2 linked regions of the Yarrowia lipolytica genome follow. The protein of the gene in region 1 interacts with the protein of each later gene in a biochemical or structural test. Links are inferred from orthologs where the notes say so. Each region holds a gene or a part of one and is shown on either strand. Other genes may lie near its edges.

What was found.
Region 2: the proteins of YALI1_C26167g (region 1) and YALI1_D15296g form a complex in vitro, tested with the Saccharomyces cerevisiae proteins (3 studies listed by BioGRID). The link is inferred for Yarrowia lipolytica from reciprocal best matches to the Saccharomyces cerevisiae genes NFS1 and ISD11.

What each region holds. Positions count from the first base shown.
Region 1 is NC_090772.1:2,612,162-2,622,867, forward strand, and holds YALI1_C26167g (uncharacterized protein), read left to right. Parts: upstream 1-4,617; coding exon 4,618-6,006; downstream 6,007-10,706. Other genes in the region: YALI1_C26138g (uncharacterized protein), read right to left, coding at 51-1,736; YALI1_C26146g (uncharacterized protein), read left to right, coding at 2,529-2,864; YALI1_C26161g (uncharacterized protein), read left to right, coding at 3,976-4,431; YALI1_C26209g (uncharacterized protein), read left to right, coding at 8,785-8,937, 8,984-9,193; YALI1_C26215g (uncharacterized protein), read right to left, coding at 9,276-9,366, 9,410-9,528; YALI1_C26222g (uncharacterized protein), read left to right, coding at 10,123-10,706. UniProt on the Saccharomyces cerevisiae protein: Catalyzes the removal of elemental sulfur from cysteine to produce alanine. It supplies the inorganic sulfur for iron-sulfur (Fe-S) clusters. Plays a role in both tRNA-processing and mitochondrial metabolism.
Region 2 is NC_090773.1:1,523,690-1,533,097, reverse strand, and holds YALI1_D15296g (uncharacterized protein), read right to left. Parts: upstream 3,458-9,408; coding exon 3,155-3,457; downstream 1-3,154. Other genes in the region: YALI1_D15304g (uncharacterized protein), read right to left, coding at 1,792-2,616; YALI1_D15288g (uncharacterized protein), read left to right, coding at 4,014-4,167, 4,219-4,379; YALI1_D15245g (uncharacterized protein), read left to right, coding at 8,553-9,408.

The sequences.
Region 1 (10,706 bases):
ACTTGCTTGAGCTATATATTTTCCTACTACATATGTATATTCCTGTCTCCTTACTTTCGGAAAAGTCCGCCCAAAAATCCACTCTTCTTAGTCTTCTGCTCCTCGCCGCCCTTGGCAGTCTCCACGGCCTGCACCTCGGCCGGGTAATCGACGTAGTTGTAGGCAATGTCGAAGAAGACGGGCTTGACCAACACGGGTTTCAGCCGCTGGTCAAACTCCACAATGTTGTGAGCCGTGTCCGAGGCAGTTGCCATGGGATACGAGTCCATGTTATCTGAAACGGGGTGGTTAAGGGGCTTCTCCGTCAGTCTCTGGGCAATTGTTTCCAGCGCCTGCAGTCGTGCGGTGTTTGCAACGAGCTGGGCGTTCTTTGGAACCTGGATTCCAGTGACAGCAGCATGATCAGCGTCACCGACAGTCTGTTGCAGCTGAAGAGCCTTGCTATTGAGAGCAAGGGCGTTCTTGTAGTCTCCAACCAGGTCGTAAGACGCACCGATGGCAGCAAGCTTCTGGGCTCTGTAAGCAGCCTTGGTGGCTGTAAGAGCAGAAACGAGGGAGGAGTCGTTGGAGACACCGGCCAGATTGAGAATTTCATCGACAGACTGCACAATGTTGCCTAGCAGACGCACCGAGTCCTTGAGCTGCAACAGTCGGGTGTGGGTGGAGATTTTCAGCGCACTGGGAAGCTTCTCCTTGTTGGTTTTGGCGTGGTCCTTTCGGTCGACCGTCTTAAGCTGTGACACCTCGCTCAGAAGCAGCAGGTCTCGCTCGATTCGCTGCTGCAGCATGTGGAAGTTGATGAAGGTCAGCACAATGTGGGCGTTTTGGGTGGTGTCGTCGTGGGCAGCGATTCCGGCCAGCTCAAATCGCTCCAGCTCCTCCTTGACAAGATCGTTGGCAGACTGCCACAGCGACAGCAGAGTATCGTAGTCAGAGATGGTCTTCTCCTCGGCCTTGGTCTGGGTCAGGGCGTTGCTGACGGTTCGGGCCACGTCGGGGTCGGTAATTTTAGCCTGGTGGCCTCTCCACTCAATCTCGTCCAGTCCGTGGGCCTCGTCCACCTCCAGAGCGTGGGGATTGATCTTCTCGACCAACTTTCCAAAGTCGGATCCGGCATCAACGTAGCCCTTGGAGGCGTTTTCGAGATCGAGCTTTCGGTCAGGAGAAACCTTGAGCAGGGCGACACCGAGAGCAGGGTCGATCTGGGTGGAAATGACGTCGGCCAGCAGCTCGGCCTCCTCAGCGTCCTTGGCCAGAGTGATGAGAGCAGACAGACCCACTCGAGCCGCAGAGTAGGGCTGCACCAGCTTCTGCCACTGTTTTTTGTGTGCGTACAGAGCGCCCTCCAGCAGCAGACGATACGTGGCGATCTGCAGACGCACCTCGTCGCTCTGTGTGTCGGAGACAGACTGCTCCAGGGCCATGGCATACTGCACGGCCTTAGTCAGCTTGGATGCCACCCGTTTCCGCTTGCCGGCTGATCCGTTGGTCTCGAGAATAGATGCCGTCTCCTGAGACACGGCCCAGGCCCGCTCGGCTTGCAGCAGCAGCAGTTGTGCGAATCGAGCGTCCTGAACTACATCTTCGGTGGACACTTGCTTGGGCGAGTACTCCTTTGTGTTTTTGGTCTGGACGCCGAGCCGACGCTTGAGGGTCGCCAGACGCTTAGTGACGACTCCCCGGTACTCGATTCCCGCGGTTCGGTGCGAAAGAACAGTCAAAAGCGGGTTCTCCATTCTGCTGTTTGTGATGGGGGTATAATGCTGGCTGTGGTGATGTGGTAATTGAAAAACCTAGAATCGCCAGGTCATGTGACAAGCTGGGACTATGGTACGAAAGTTTATGTGGAGACAAGGGGACTGGAGGATGGGAGATAGGGGCGGTTGTAGAGAAGATATAGAGACAAGCCTTTAAGAGGAATCAGTTCGCTGGACCTAATTTGGTCAGCGCACAAAAATTCAGCTTTAATGACATGTTACTATGTGTTGTTGAAGTGTCTTGAATGTTCCTCTGTTGTATTTACTCTTCGTTTGTTAAGCGAAAACCTTTTTTTTTAGCTGATAATCGTAATGTAGGCTGGTAACGAAGACTTTGACATTATGGCATATCTTTTTGGGCGATTTGGAAAGCAAAATGATGAAAGAAACGATTTATGTTGGTGAATTCTTTGTGGTATTTCGGATCTGAGTTAGTTATCGGGTTATAGCGCATTATCTTGATATACGAGTATGTGGTATGTATGATAGTAGCATAAAAGTTCAAGGTCGTTCTGAGCGTTCTGGATATCTATTCCGTAGCCGTAAAAGATAACCATAGAAACTCTAGTTCTCTTGCCGTCTTATCAATTCTATTATCTGTACATTTCCTTCCTCTAAAACTGGCGTAATGTGATATCATTTACATGACTTCTCTCAGCTCTGTTTTGCGCCCTTCCATTATGCCCATAACCATGTTTACTGAAGATCCAGAATCCCTTCTTCTCCATACCATAAACAGGCTAGATACAAAACACAGATATATCGCTCGAAATGGCTCACAAGTTTTCTATCAACAAGCACGATCCCTTCAACAAGATGATGTCAAGCTTCTCCAGTAAACATGACGGCCCAATCGACCTCCAAGGCTGTGTCACCTACCTCAAAATCCAGCTAAACAGGCTGGGAGCCCTGGCACAATACTACGACGTGGTTCACTTGCAGTACGACCAAATGCCCGAGCCTGCCCGAACTGAGCTGGGCTCTATTGCCCGGAAGATTATGATCCTTGGCCAGCATCTGGTGAACGTGCTGGGTCCTGATCATCCTCTGACCGAAGAGCTCTGTAACATGATTCACATGGTTGGACCGAGAGTTATGTGTCTGTGAAACGCTCCTGTATCAATTTGTGCGACCAACTGAACTACAAGGAATGCTCTCATTACATGCAAACCGCAAACCTGAGCCAAGTACACGGCTGTGAAGTACAAGTATATAGACGACAATACCATGCGTAAACGGATGGCAACCATGAACTCGGAAGTCTTATAGTGCAGAATTATTACATAACCTATTGATCTACAGCTTTACTGATGTATATCTACAGTACAGACCATCTGTTCGACGATTTACAACTTTCGAAGCACGATGGACGCATGTTGTGCAGTGTTGCTAGTTGTGCTGAGAGACTGCACTATGAGACAAACTGACAAAAACCGAGATACCTGACCATATTTGATTGTAAAAACTAACACAACTTGCCAAATACAACAATAATACACTTGGAAGCCCGACTGAGCGTCCCTTCAAAGGCCGACCCCCCACCCAACTCTTTCAAACTTTGATTCACTTTGAGTTACACGATCTCTTTTGTTTTGGTCTGTGAATGACGATATACGCGAAGTTGAAAAGGGAAAATGGATACGTAGATAGCCTTTTCTTGTGCTTTCGACATGATTTTTTCAAAGAGATGTGTTTTTCGAGTACTCCCCATCGAGATATATGCTTGCCAATCTGCGGAGAAATCCAACGGCAACTCAAAACGACGACAAAGAAAACGGTTGAAACAAGCAAGCAACTGTAGCTTGGTGCACATGTGGGTGAACAAACTGGCTGTGAAACTGAACCCCAGCTTGTTTGCTACTTGCAGCCGATTCATATGATCACGTGACTACTATTTCCTGCCCACACGTCAATATCTCAAGATGGCATGCGCCGGTGAGTGGCCGAGAATATGCATGGTTAGATGGGGTGCGTTGTATCGATGAGAGGGATTCCATCTCCGGCTCGGAAGTATATTTGAGTCATGATTGACTCTGCAACTTGTCTCGGTTCGAATCCTGTGGAAGACGCTCGAGTACTCACACTGTTCTGTACGTTCTGTACAGAATGTTCGTTAACATAGCAACGAAGAGGTGTTTCAAGGGCATAACCCAATCAAACCAAATACAAGCATCTATATCACCGCTCGTCTAGTCAGTACTCGTGCCAATGGCTCTCTATGACATCTCTCCGACCCCAGAACTCAGTTTATTGCCGGATACGCCCTGCGACTTTCGGCTATTATTGGTCTTTGCTTCTCTTGGATCACCTGCATGGAAATATCTCCGCCTACATTAATATTTTTCTGCATCCGAGTTTCACGCGGAGGGTGTGTAGCAGGGGAGGGGGTAAAAGGAGTCTTCTCAGTCGACTTTTAAACACGTGTTTTTGTTCCAGTCTGGTCATAGGACGTATAAATCTCGCATCACGTGCTCAGACCGTCGATACCACGTCTAGACCACTCCCCAGGTATGCACTTCACGAGGCTTACCAATCAACCCCCACTAACCTCTTCTTGCATAACTCTATCTATTGGCTGGAACATACATGTCCTGTGGGTGTTGATTTCAGATGTCGAAAAAAGAAGGCACAATCTACACGATGGAAAGACAAAAACAGCCTTGTTTTACTCTAAATTCTCCCCTCTTCAGAATAAGCTCTCTATCTGTCCCGTGACCCACTTGCTCTCTACTATTCTTCGCCACCGTCCAGTATCTCGTTTACACGTGCCGTGATTTACACCTCCCAAAATTGGCTTCCCCAGAGAAAACGGTGCACCTACAACTGTCTACCTCCACCCACACAAGACTACACACACGCAATGACCCTCCGACTTGCGTTTCGAAGCGTGGGCCGTGCAATGGCCACCAGGACCGCGTACCCCTCGCTGGCCCGATCCCTGGCCACCCACGCGCCCTCCACAGAGACCTTCACCGCTTCTGCGCCTGAGGGATCTCTGGTGGCCAAGGCCGTCGAGGCTGTCCAGAACGCTCCTGCCGGCGATGAGCGACCCATCTACCTGGACATGCAGGCCACTACCCCCACGGACCCCCGTGTGCTGGACGTGATGCTCAACTACTATACGGACATGTATGGCAACCCCCATTCGCGAACACACTCGTACGGATGGGAGACCGACACCGCTGTCGAAAAGGCGCGAGAGGAGATTGCCGCCCTAATCGGAGCCGACCCCAAGGAGATCATCTTCACCTCCGGCGCCACCGAGTCCAACAACATGGTCATCAAGGGTATTGCCCGGTTCTACAAGGGCCGAAAGCGACACATCATCACCACCCAGACCGAGCACAAGTGCATTCTGGACTCGTGCCGATACCTGCAGGATGAGGGCTTCGAGGTCACTTACCTGCCCGTTCTGTCCTCCGGTCTCATTGACATGAAGCAGCTGGAGGCCGCCATTCGACCCGACACTGCTCTGGTGTCCATCATGGCCGTCAACAACGAGATTGGTGTGATCCAGCCCATTGCTGAGATTGGCGCTCTGTGTCGATCCAAGAAGGTCTTCTTCCACACCGATGCTGCCCAGGCCGTCGGAAAGATCCCCATCGACGTCAACGCCGACAAGATTGATGTTATGAGCATAAGTGGACACAAGCTTTACGGCCCCATGGGTATCGGTGCCTGCTACGTGCGACGACGACCCCGAGTGCGTCTCGAGCCCATCATTACCGGTGGAGGTCAGGAGCGAGGTCTTCGATCTGGAACTCTGGCTGCCCCCCTCGTTGCTGGCTTTGGAGAGGCTGCCCGTCTGTGTCGACAGGAGATGCCCTACGACACCGCCCACATTAAGAAGCTGTCTGACAAGCTCAAGAACGGTCTCCTGGCCATGGAGCACACTTCTCTGAACGGAGACGCTGAGCACCACTACCCCGGTTGTGTCAACATCTCTTTTGCTTACGTTGAGGGAGAGTCTCTGCTGATGGCTCTCAAGGACATTGCTCTTTCTTCTGGATCCGCCTGCACCTCTGCCTCTCTCGAGCCCTCTTACGTGCTCCGGGCTCTTGGTGCCGATGACGCTCTTGCCCACTCCTCCATTCGATTTGGTATTGGTCGATTCACCACTGAGGCCGAGGTCGACTACGTGCTTAAGGCCGTGCAGGAGCGAGTCAACTTCCTGCGAGAGCTGTCTCCTCTGTGGGAGATGGTCCAGGAGGGTATTGATTTGGATTCTATTGAGTGGTCTCAGCATTAAGCGAACATGGCAGCCAGCAAAAACATTGCGCAACCATGATAAGCGGTATGAACTGTTCTAGACAAGTGTACGAATCAGGTGCAACTAGATCCGCAACAATAAACAAAAAACTGATGAGCCGTGATATATAGGCATGGCATGTGATGAATAGTGAATGATAGTAAGGTAGAGATATGAGTTGAGAAAGAGTGGACGTGAAGAATATGGCTTATCATTGGCTACTTGTAGTCTGCGTTCCAACCAGTATTCCTACGGACGACTCCAATATGCTCCAGCAGCCAATGGGTAGTTGATGACACCACGATTGGCTTGTATCCGTGTAGTACCTGAAGATGGTGGTTGGCGTAGTGTTGTATTGTCATGTGCTATCCTAGTGGTAAAATGCAGCTAACCATAGTGCAGAATCACTAAGGGTGCAGTAGCTGATACGAGATATAGCCCAGTTTCAAGGATTAGGGCAAGAGAGTCCACTTCTACTCGAGGAAACGAAGAGTTACATACCGAACTAATCGTCTTGGGGGGGTCTTAGTGAAGGTCAGTTCAACTCCTTTCTCTTTGTCGTTCCAATTCCGTGTAAGGAGTCAAACATACGACACCGATAAACACCTGGAAGGTCGCCGGTGCGAGTACATGCTGTGCGAATCGTTTGGCACATACCGCAACAGACATTCGAGGGGGGCGTTAGCCGACATGGCCCGTAGCTCAAGCAGTTGCTAGGGTTTGAGCTGAAATGTGACCTGGTCTCGATACGGCTTACACCAGACATGCCTAATGGTCTTTAGTGCAAGCATAACTCTCCAGTCTCCACTTTTGAGCTTGGTGCTTGGATCTCTGAGCTTGGTTGGTCCAGTACATACTGTAGTCCAACTCTGAGCTTAGCTGTGAAGGCTGCGGAGGTGCCGGTAGCGGCAGTAGCATCTTTGCGATAGGCGTAAGGGACGAAAGGCGTTCGTTTATGGCATGCTTATGGGTGTAGAAGGATTTCCAAAGAGAGCAGTTGCAAGTATGTGTGTAGTTCTCCACATATGACGAGGGTTGTTGGACCTGACCAGACGGTTGAGTAGCTGGATTGTAGATAGCCTGGCTGAGCAACATACAGCATGGTAACGGGCACTCGGGCTCTGCAGACTAACGTCCTTTATTCCGATGTCATCTCCAGCATCTGTTCTCTCTTTAGTTCCAGTCTCTAGGGTAACGGATCGGTTCGTTGCGGGACTCTTGTATGGATCTCACTCACACGATCTATAAGATGGGCAAAAAATCAAAGGTTGCATTAGTTTGGGGTTATTTTGGAAGTCGATGTAGTTTCCGTGAGCACCCAAACGGGTAACACAACATCCCGAGGTCTGTTGGGGGCTCTTGCTCGACGCTTTGCTGTCAGATGGAGTTACAGTAGATGCGTGAGCTGGCAGCTGTCAGATGTCTGACTACCAAGGGGGTTTTCGAGCCGTGACAGCAAAGGGTCGAGGAAGAGGTCAATTTTCCAACCTACCTGTTGTTTTTTCCCGCTACAAACCCCTCGCTTACAAGCTCACAAGTGGTTTGTGCCATTAGTGGTTGGTGTACAAGACGCTTGTTCGTGGTGAGGTTCGGTTTGGCTTTTCTGCACATGGGAAATGAAGAACTTTAGGCACATCTCTCATCCTTGCAGGGAGCACCACCACACATGGTGCAAGTGCAGGGCTTGCGAATGAGACGGACGACAATGGTGTCTGGAGCCGGTACTTTGACGTGGCGGGACCGCGAGAGAGCAGGAAAAGTCGCCAGTGTACAATTAGAGGGCCCCATCTCTTTCCCTCGCGCTTCTATTAGCTTCCTGCTGGACTTGCCTGTTTTGTCGAATATGCAAAACTCTCCATTCCCCTGCACCTGTGTACCAATGCAGTGGAAATGGCGGGCGTTGGAGGGAGTTCATTAGTGAAGATTTATAGGGTGTAATGTAGTGTAATAATTAGACAATAGGTGAAGACAAAGACTGACATAAGTCGAGGGATTTCTCGACGACCGCGAGTAAGGGCACCTGTAGGGGAGATGGTGGTTCGGGTAGATACGTCGTCATTATGAAACGTTGGCGGGAAGAGCAGCCAAAAAAGCAAGCTGAGATTAATACTCTATCTTGAGACAATCAAAAAAGCAACTTGGATGCAACTCGGGTCCGAAGGTACAGTGTGCTAGTGGTTCAACCTGGTGAACTAGCGATCCAATGGGTATTGAGACGGTTTAAGCCTGGTGTGGTGTACATGGCATGTATATACAGTATTTACTGGTGCTTCTTGTTTGATATACCTCCTCCCTGTCAAAGAGCAGAGCAAATGACATACATGGACGGTTCATAAGTAAACGCTTGGTGGAAATTTACATTAGACTGTTTGTTCGTCTCCAAGGCCAGTCTGCTTCTTTGCAAGGTCTTCTTTGGAGCTATCGTCCAACTGAGACCCAGCTTCTGGCACGCTAGATACGGTCATCATCGCTAGGGGAACCCGGCTACGGACAACAATACCCACCACCGCCATACGGCCCGATCTACAGTCTCGTATACCTGCAAACCTAAGCGTCCATTGTCTGAGCGTCGGCTGAGTGCTTCTGGAACACGTCGTTAGGGTTGGGCTGGTTTTTCAGGCTGACTTTTGCTTTTGTCCCTACTTGCTTGTAGCTTCTTGCACACGCTTTTCACACTCAAGAGGCTGGTGACAACGGCTGAGAGTCAGGTGGTGACTGAGTTACGGCTCGGACGGAGTCGTTAAAAGAAACTGACTCGGACCGGAGGTTCTCCAAAAGATGCTTCCTGTTCCGACCGAGCTTCCCCAGGGCGGATTACAGTCGAAAATAAACATCCACGAGTGCACGTCGTCTTGGACAACTCAACCCCGACTCTTCTGTAACATGGAACCGGCGCATATGCCACATGTATGCTTTACCGTGCTTGGCTGTGTCTTACCTATAGGCAGGGCAGGGATTAGGTTGTAAAAAGGGCGAGCGTGTTGACACTGGCACCTTGGACTCGGTTGTGTGCCCGCACTTGAGTCTGAGGTCCAATGAAGGAATCACACCTGTTGGATTACGAGACGTGGCCGACGAGACTACCCACAGACGCTCGCGGGAGTGTACACTACGAACGCACCATTATGGGCCAATCAACCCCCTTCTTGCTGTCACTCCTCACCGTCGCTTGTCTGATTCATCATGACGTCTCAACCACATCTGGGTGGGAAGCATCCGACGGATGTCCCTGAACAAACAAGGCACAAGTGTGTACTGTAGCATATACACTACAAAGTAAGCACTCGTAGGGGTTTTTTGACAGGTCGGAGAAGTCGGAGGAAACGGTGTGACTGAAGACTCCAGAGTGTTGCTTTTGGGCTGGGGGTACATGTCTTCTCAGATGCTGTCCAACCGCACCCACCTCCACACGACGACATGGACCGTTAGCAAGACTCTTTTCAGGATTTCAGTTCTTTCTGCATACCCCATCTTGGAGACTGCAGCTTGGCAGAGATGAAAATGTCCAAGTCGGAGGTGCATTAGCAGCGAGCTAGTGGGACTATCTGAGCGTCTGGTTGATCTGAAAAAGATTAAGCGAAGGCCAACCTCGAACGGTGCAAGATGAGAGACCCTGAGAGAGCATTGCCGTGTGCAAGTTTCTCTCCCACCAACCTCCTCTCCGTCTCTACAAGTAGCACATCCTTGTGAAATTACAAACGCGATACTTGCACCAGTACAAGTAGGCTACTCTATCAACAACCTCGCCTATGCATTCCGATACACAGCTCCATCACCGCCACCATCACCACCTTCGGAGTTGGGGCTCCGGGAGAAGACTTTTCAGACCATTGTTCTTGACAGTAGCCGCCATTTCCACACTTGCCGGAGCCGTGTCTGTGTTTGTCTGTCGGACTTGTGGTGTTAGGGATCTGCTTGTGGTCTGAAAAAGAGTTTGATTCACATGGCAACAGGCCAGTTTGTTGTGCCAACCTACTGTACAAGTCGAACTCTAACGCTGCTGGACGAAATATTTTGAACTTGACTTGTATATTTTTTAAAAAAAAAAATTTGAGCTGGGCTATATAAAAAAGGCTAAAATGGGAGTTAACGAGTAGAGCAAAGTTTAAGCAGTGCATGAATAAATACATGCCAGAAGACAGAGAAGAGACAGAAACCACAGCAGATATACCGCGTTGCACGTTGCCAGACACGTCAAGGGCCATGAAGAAATCGAGAAACGGATGCTTGCGGTGCAAACAGCTTAAGCGCAAGTGCGACGAGGAAAAACCCGCGTGTGAACGGTGTGTCAAGGCGGGAGCCGCGTGCGAGTACAAAAAAGTGCTAACCTGGGGCAATGGAGTGGCGTCCAGGGGAATCCACAAGGGCGCCACCTTCATCAGCGATGTGGGATCCCGAGCCCACGTGGAGGCGGCGGTGCGAAACTTCAGAGTCGACATTGAATCATCTCCGTCTTCCATGAGCACCCCAAGCTCGGATGGAGGAGCAGGATCCGGAACCTGTATGGCGCACGGAGGCCTGGAGCTTCTGCCCGTCTCGTCCATCCCCGGATTTGCTGACCAAATCAGCTCCATACTCACCCACATGGAACAACCTACACACATGCCTGTGATAAACCCAGTGAATGAACAGGGAGGAAGGATACAATCGCTGTCCGCAGACGCATACCCACCGGGCTTTCTACTGGACCTGGAAGATTC
Region 2 (9,408 bases), on another chromosome or scaffold:
TGATTTAGTTGAGACCCAATTGGAATGTTTGGCGTCGTGAATTCTACTTGGAGTGCGTATACTAGATCGGCACGCATAACTCGTTAGTTAAGCATGTAGTTGGGGTTAGTTGAGAAAGTAGTTATGGTTAGTTGATAAAGTAGTTAGGGTTAGTTGAAGAGATGCTGTTGAAGAGAGTGGCTGAGGATTTCGAGACACTCACACAACGATGGCTCCAGCGAATGCACCAGTGTGGACAACTGCCCTGAACAATGCACTGGTGTATCCTTACCCATTGCCATTAATATATCTGGTTATAACAACATCGGCGGTAATACAAGATACATACTTGTAGTTCTATCTCAGAAGTCTCCTCCTACAAATTAATAGCCTTGACTTACTCGTGATGTACAGAACCATTTGATTGAACGACATAGTAAAACCAATGGTATCTTCTCTGTCACACGAGATAATATTCCACACACACGAGAAAATAAACCGCACAAGCGTATTGCTCGGGCCGTTCACGCTTTCTGTCGAACGCACTAATTACAGTGTAAGGACAAGATAACGACCAGAATGAGATCCGAAGACGTCTCATGGGGGGTATCGCAGATTTAGATGAGCAACGGCAAGGGTACGTACGTATACGATTAGACACACAGTGGTAGTTTTTTCTGGGGGTTATCGACATTTGGTCATGATATATCCACTACACTGGTATGTATGTACTCCTACAGTATGTGCAGTTATTGGTTGCTTGTACTATGGCCGCGATAGCAGCAGTTAGTTGTGGCGATTCTGAACAGTGTCCCAGTTAAATATTTACATAATAGTTTATCTTTTCTATCCAGGAATATCAAATGTACAAGTACGAAGATGGATACCGAATATGAGCATACCAGATAGAATATCTCGGTTCAATACAACACTGCGATCTTTTTCAGACCGAGATCAGGCAAACAAAAAGCTCATCGCCTCAAGCAGCTTTCGATGCTTTCGATGACAAGGAACTGTCCATCCAAGTAATTATTGGAACATGAGTCTCGGTACGGGAGTGATGAGAAAGATGGCGAGTAAGAGGGCGTCTGGCTATTGAGAAGATTCAATAACTTGATATACTGTACAACACAAGTAGGAGTGTCGGTACTCTTCCAGATCATTGTCAAAACCAAGCATTAGACTTGTTTCTTTTATCGTGTTTTATCTAATACCACGTTGCTCAAGAACAGTTGAATGGAAAGCTTTGGCAAGGGTGACAAACCGCTAGTTTCCATTCTGAGGGACAAATTCGCTCAGCCGTTTGTTATATATCCAAGGGCTCCTTTCATATTGTCGACGACCCCCTTATGGCTCTGACAGAGCAAACCAGGGCTCCCAACACCAACGAAGACACGGCATATCGATGTGGAGAGTCGTACAAGGAATGTGTTGTCATTCCTGCACCTAGTCCCGAGCTCTTCACCAACAAACACTATTCTCCATCGTTTGATGAAGAGCAGTTCCAGGACCTTGTCAGGCAGTCTAACTACATTTTCCGCCAGTTGGAGTTTTGATACATACGTTTGACTTCATCCTTCAGGTCTGCAGATATAAAGTATTGATTTGCAGTGAGAGAAAAAGATGGACTACCAGCATAGTATGTATGTCCTGGTACATAGTAGAATCACCTCCGTCTCTCAAGACGGCTTATTCCTCCAATCAGATCATTGAAGCCGTATATCACCACAAGGATTAGTTACAAGCCCTGATGAACTTGTTGTCTTTTCCTGGTAAGCTGCAAGCTGCGCTTGTGAACGCCCATCGCCATGATCACTGAGCATGACCCATCCCACTCTTACGTCCAGTATGCTGTACTAACAAGAACCACTTTTGTTTCATCTTGCAATGCTTCATTCCCTCAGCCAGAGCAACATCTGCAGGGCGACCAGACGTCTCCAAGAAGTCAGCGAGACATCCAGCATAGTCTCTATGGATGATTCGACACTGGCTCTTGTTTCCGTCAATATCACGCTCCTCCCAACCGTTACCCCTCTTGGCACAGTCCCAAGATACCTCTGGCCCTGAGTATTTGGCCATGGTGTGCAAGGCGAGTCTGTAGAGCATCATGTCGCGCTTGTTGATGAAGACAATATCGTCTTCCAGCAGCATGCACAGTTCGTGGGAGCCGTTGGAGCAGTCTCGCAGCGTCTGGGCGTACTTGTTTCGGTACTTGTTTTCGATCCATTCCATCCATTTGAACATTTCCGGTGTTCGGAACTTGTACTCGGGGTTCTTTTTGAGAATCTCCCGTTCCTCGTCATTCTCAGCAGGTCGGTACTTAATCTTGGGAGGAGGCCCTGGGTTTGTGAACCCCTCGGGAGGAGGAACCAGCTTGTAATCCCACCGCGTATGAGCCTTGCACTGCGGGGCGACTTGCGGCGCGTCTGAGTCCAGCATAAATGTGCCCTCTCGAATCCAGTCGGTGAGATGGCCACATTCACGCTCGCATGTTGTGGTCAAGATGTAGGTTTTGATTCTGCTTTTGCCGGCCTTTCTGTCGAGCCATGACAAGTCCTTACCCAGCACGACCATCGATATGAATGCCCCCGTCAGGGCCAGGGCCGTAGCCAACGCCAGCACCCGCTTGTATCTCATGGTGTAATGTTGTGCCGTGTCTCAAAGTCGATAACCTTCATTTTTCGTCTATCATTGAACTGAAGATATGTCAACTTTATTTGTGACATTCAAACACCTGCTCATGACCACTGTACAGCGGAAAACGGCTTGTCGAGGGGAGGGGGGATCCAGCAGCATATATATACTATCCCGAGTTACACAAACACACGGGTTTACAGATCAAACCTGGAACATGACATTAATTGCAACAGTTCCGTGGTACGACCGGATCGAAAATTTGCCACTCCAGCAACAATGGCAATTTGGACATGACAGCGAGCGTACCACCATAGTCATCTCTCTCGTTTATCAGTCCCACAAAACATCATCATCATCATCCTTTCAATATATACACAGACTTCGTCCCTCCCCCTTTTTCTGTACAGAAGTCCGTTCGTTCACACACACACCGACATCGTCATGGTGGTATGCTAACCTGGGGTCCAGCTTCACGCTTTGATCCGCCGCATCTGATATGTCCCTTTTGTCTGTCTTGTCGTTCAGCGTCCGCTGTCGTTTAAACAGCAGAGTGAAGCTGCTCGTTCTTCTTGGCGAGGTTCTTGTCGGCATGCTCAACCACCAGAGGCTCGCCGGCGTACATCTGAGAAATGACGGACTGTCGCTTGAGCACGCCGAGTTCCTTCTCGGCGTACTTGATAGCAGACTCAATCTCGCCCTTGTCGGTGAGATTTCGGTTGGCATGGAAGCCGTCCCGGGTTCGTCTGATGGCGTACTGTCGGAAGTTGTAACCGGCCATTCGGTAGCCGTTTCGCAGCAGCTGTCGGTAGAGATCCAGAGCAAGGGCCTTGTGTGCGGTCATTTTCGAGGATGGAGGAGTGTGTGGTGGGTTCTAAGAATCGGTGTACGGTCCAAAAGTTGGGGAAGGCACAAGTGCTTTTATTGGGGGGTTTGGGTTCGAGTGGAGATGCTTTGCGCTGATAGGGTTCTTAGTAATGCCGAGTTGAGGAGTGAGAGGGGGCGAGTTTGAAGGGGAAATGAAGGTTGAGAGCAAGAGAGCAAAGAATCTCTAACCTATTGTATATTGAATCACACTTGCCCTTGAGTTTCCCCCATGTTTTTGCCCCACTTTCAAACTTCGCCACACGATTAAATTCAAGACACCTGTGAGATTCGAACCCACGTGTGGAAGCCAGTCGAAAGATGACTCAGCGGGCTATGGACAGACGCAGTCTGGACTTGCAGAAGAAACGTGAGTGATTGAGAGGGCCCTGGAAGTGTGCCTGAGATCAGAGACAAAAAAACAAACGACCACAGCGATGAAAAGGGAAACAAACAGACAAAAGATAATGACCTGATTGTGCTGGAATCGATCAATTCACAAAGCTGTCTCTGATGTATTTGAAAAGTTGTCTTTGATGTTTCTGAAAACAACTCTCAGCTCTACATTATGGGATGGAATACATACAGTACAGTCAACAGTCAACAGTCAACAGTCAACAGTCCACAGTTGCAAGTCCAACTCCAACCAGCTACTGTACAATACTTGTACAAGTACTCGTACTTCCGGTAGTTGGTTTCTGCGTGTCACGAAGTAGTTGCCCAACTACAAGTACCAATAAGACATGAATACACCTGACTGTTATGTTACAGGTTCGCACGATTGCATGAGCTGTTTCAAAAGCACCTACCAAGTACGATATGTAGCGCTACAAGGAGCCAGCGCGCTCGTCCTGTTACAGCTACAAGCGGTGATGGAAGACATTGTTGCTTTTTCCAATTGACTACTCGTTTCGGGTTGTTGATTTCATTTCCCTACAAGTAATACACCACTGTAGCCATTTTACAGGAGCTATAACTCAAGGTTACGCCCAAAAAAACAGGGAAATAATATTTTTCTGTTGTCTGCGAAATCTGAAACGTGAGCACGTCAAATGCGAAAATACGCGACGATCTATACGGTGATTGTCATCTTTGGCAAGCAGACCAACCACTTATTATTTCTCACCCAACTATGAAGGAAAAAGCAAGTCCACCTGTACCGACCAGCCCTTATGTCTACAGCTGTGCTGTGGAGGTCGTACTCTTAGCGTAGCCTTGTGGGGTGAGAGAATTAAAAAAAAAGACGATTTAAGTAAGAACATGAAGAAAATGGTTGTTACTTGAAAGAAAATGGTTGTTACTTGAAAGAAAATGGTTGTTACATGAAAGAAAAATAATTGCTTCATAAAAGAAATGATTTGTTCCACTAGACGTCTGGATACTGGCTCGTAATACAATACTGGATTTTTTGATCCACGACCCTCGCTCAAAAGACGACGTCTCCAGTTTGACTCGCCTATAAAACGTAAAACGTCCAGCCGCACAGGCAGGGTCCACACTGCCCCTATAAAAACTGCTGTATAACTGCGGTTCATGTATTTTTTTTGTATCCACTATTCCAACGCACTGCTGAACCCCTAATGGCTGCTAACCGTCTGTGGCTGCCAACTAATGCACCATTCACTCGGGTGGAGGATAATTATTTCCACCTGCACGCCGACGATGGAGGTTTAGGAGGTTGAGTGCAGTCCATCAGTTGCTATGAAAGTGCACCTGTACGAGCACAAGGAGGAAAAACACAGAAGCCGGTATCTCATTGCATCCCCTTAGAAAGATATCGATTAGATCCCGAAAAAGGGGTTGAACAGGAGAGGGAGAAGTAGAACGGTTGTTTTCTTGTTCTAAGCGAGCCGTGCGAGGTATCGTGCAGTAGAATTAGAGGTTCTGGAAGCTCCAAACTAATCAATATCTACGGCTAGGCGGTGTGTAGAGTTAATGGATATGGAGACCACATTTAAAATGTTTGATTGTCCAAGTCATAGATCAAGCCCATCACTCAGATAGAGGACTAAGTACTACAAGTGGAGAAAGGTTCGTTCTCCACCGGTGCCAACCCACCTTTACAATCAGGGGTTCACGAAAAGAGCGCTCAGGCTCACAGTAGAGAATGTATCAGTGCATAAAACCAATTGCATACCTACATGGCAAGCGCCACCCCCGCTAGATCCGCTATGGTGCGTACTGGTACGTAAACAATGCCTCTTACCGGTGAGTTAGGACATGCCGACCAAACGGCCCCGTATGTCCGTGGAGGCGACAAAACGAGTGGTTGGGTGGCATTTTAAAGAGCTATAACCGGCTAAACAGACCCATCCGTTAGTTATGGGTCAAAAGGGCCAGATCTGAATGTTCTCGGCCCAGTTTTGAGCAGGAACGACGCCATGGGGTCCATGGGGTCGAGATGCAGGTGCAGGTACACACACTTGGGCTGGTATGATTTGTGATCATTCTGTGCACCAACGGTATGTGCAGTAACCACTTATTTCTCGTGTACTTGACTTGTTCCGTACTTGACTTGCTTCTTGCCGGCTCTTCACTGGGTCCCTTCTTTTAGACTCGATGGACCCGTTTGTCTCGCGAGATACAAGTGGATGGGGAAAATAGGATTTAACACAAAGTTCTTACACGTCCAAAAACGGAACAATTGCAAACCTAAACAAAACCATGCACCCCCGATTGGGAAAGAGGTATACACAGATTTGGGTCAATACAAACAAATGTCGGAGCATAGATTGTCCACGCGGCGTGAACGGTGATAGTCGAGTGGCAGCAGGCGCATTGGATGATGGGTCTGGGTAGACCAAGAGATGGAGAGGCGAGAGCGCCAAAGTTCAATATTATCGGAGCGGGCATCGGCGTCATGTCGCTGAGCTCCAGTACATGGGGTGCTAATATTATTTGATTGGGAGCCCAAATAATATCTGCACAACTTTTTTCAGACTGAGCTGACACAGACAAGACGGTTATTATTTCGTGGAGATGGCTGGAATGCACCCCTGCCTCGATACATGTGTGTCTTGGAAAGTGGTGGTGACGTAGTGTACTGACCATGGTGGTATTGATGGTACCATGTTGTTGTAGCTACAGCGAGTAGGCGGTGCGAGCTTACCACCTAAAGTAAGTGTACAACCTACTGTACTGGGCTTGTACAATGCTCTACCCTACATTGCAACACCTCAATCACGCACAATCTCGCCCGTCAAGCAGAGTCGCAACTACGGTAGTCTCACCACGCTATAACCATACTCATGCGTAAAGATCCGGTTGCACGAGTCTGTTTTTTGTGCTTCGTCTCGGTCGCTCTGACTGCTTGAAAATAACTCAGTTTGTTATTTTTCATGTACTGTAAGATGTGCAGCTTGCAGACCATTGATCGGAGCCAACCTAGTGTCTACGGACCCCGACCTCCTCAGTATTATATCAGCCGTTTTGGCGGACGGAGACATGTGTCTAAAGCGTGTCGCTCTAGCGGGGCAGCTACTGCAATAATATCGGGTTATTATAGGACAGGTTTTGGGCCTTTGGCGAGCTCGGGTGTGGTATAGTGCCAGTAGCATGCTCCATCCACTTGACAACCTAGAGCGGTCCAAGCATAAGTACAGACTCAGACTCTCTACATACTGTGCACCGGAGTACAAGTACCGGAGCTTGGCCGAAATGAAAGCCTAGGCCGTGGACCCCAGCCAATGCAGACCGTTGGGTTAGCCGAACTTGGGCCAGCTGTCACTGTTGGATCCCGCAGTGGTACAGATTACAAGGCCCGACAAAGTAGCTCGTTTGCTGCTGCTTTAGCCCACTCCACAATGGTCCCCACTACCCAAAGTGTATCTGGAACACAATGTCATTGAGTTGACAGCGACAGGCGATACACTCTTTGCTGGTTGCGGTGCGTACAGTTGAGAGTGAAAACCTATTACTGTGCTGTAATTACACACACTAGGTTCGAGCACTATCTGGCCTTGTGGTGTAGAGCCGATGGTGATCAGATGTGGTTTAAGACATGAGGTTGTAGATTGGAACAAGACAGGTCCACACGGACCACACGCACAGTACATAGAAAGAAAAACGAGTTACAAGTAGTACATCCTCTCTTCAAGCAAGTCTCCGCCACTACTAGTAGCTCCTGCACGAACGTTGATGAATGGAAACATGACATGGTCTCAGAGGCGCCACCACCCTCCTGCGCCATCTCCCCACTCTACAATCTGGGTGCCGTATGCTGTATGTGCAAAGTGCAGCGAGCATTGGGCATGAAGAGGAGGAGGAGTAGGTACCAGACCCACAAAGTGTGCGACACTGGATCATGACGAGAGTACTTGTGCTTGCTCCTCGTATAGCTGTCATTGTATCATCTTGACAACGTTGCATCCTGGCAGTGTATCGGTAGGATGACACGGTCCGGCAGCAAGGCTGAAAAGTGGTCGCTTTTGTAGCTACCCAAACACGGTACTTGGTAGGTACCGTGTCTGGGTGGAGCAGAGAGGTTCGCCTTTTATCTTTCACATCTATCAACATTGCCTCATAGGTCCCAAATGACCCAATCCGTCTCGAACTTGCTCCCGCCGCTACTGAAGCCACAGGTAGCAGGTAACTCGGCCAGTCCAAACCACACGTAACACGTTCTTTTTTGGCGTAGCTGCACAGTTTTTGGTTCGCCTTTGTGTTTTTGTGTTTTTTTTCTCCCAGCAAGTCCCTTTTGTGCTTCTTTGTCTGGGATAAACCTTTGTCAAGACGCGCTAAGTGTGCTAAGTGCAAAAGTCTATTTCCGAAGTAGTGAAGCTGGGTAAACTGTCTCCAGGAAATCATGTATATACATCTCTGTCTGGAGAATCAAAAGACACGCCGTATTCGACATCCATTTCTCCAGCAGCGACAGCCCTCCGACGGCTGAGCGCACTCCTACCGATACCCTGGCTGAGGAATACACACACACACACACACACACTCACACCTCAGAGATACGACTGATCTGATAAACTGGTAACAACTCCTCGACCAGTATAGTATAATTCAGTCGACAGATAAAATCGACACCCTCGACACTTTCGACACTTTCGACACACATCGCATGCGCAATGATCATCAGCCTGACTGTGACCGTTAAAACGACGCTGTCGTGTGTGTTTGTGCTTCTGCCGATTCCCGTGGCGGTTCTGGCGTTCGTGGCCGCTGCTCCGCTAACCTCGCCTTGGAGAGCAGCCCTGTATCTTCAGGGAGCCGCCTCGGTGGCCCAAGCGGCGTCCTATGCGGCCTTTCTGGTGCATAAGAAAGCCATTCCTGCGTGTGTCTTTTCGGCCTTTTTAGCCTGGCTGGCTGGCATGGTCTTCTACGCTAAAGTAGTGAGAGATGTGGCCTTTGATGACAATAGCGGGAGTGTTCTGGTGACCCATCACGCAGGCGTGACCACGGCCCATTTCGCCCTCTGGAGCATAGTCGCAGCTCTGGCCGGCGCTTACACGCTGTTTGTGCTCATCTCCGAACACTCCAGCATCATTGCCGCAATCGAAGGGCCCAACAGCACTAAGCCTAGTCCATCGACAATTAGCGTCGACCAGTTCAAAGTAGACCCTGCCTCCACTGGAATGGACCTCAATATGAACACTAACAGCACAGTGGCTAGAACCAACTCGGGAGGATATGCCGGCCATGCCCCTCACCACTCATACACAACAAGCAACCACATGACAAACAACAACATCAACAACTACCAGGCTGGACTTACCCAGGAGCACCATGCAACTCCACTGTTGCCCAGCATGGAACCTGAACACGAAGAGGGTATAGACAATCCTACTGTTGTGGTCAACTCTCTGGCGGGTTTAGAGGCCATTCCTGCCTCTGCGGGCTCCACTGCCGAACCCACCTCTAGACACACTCAGAGCACTTCGTCGTTTGGATCCATCAACTTCGCCGGGCTAAACATTCGACCTC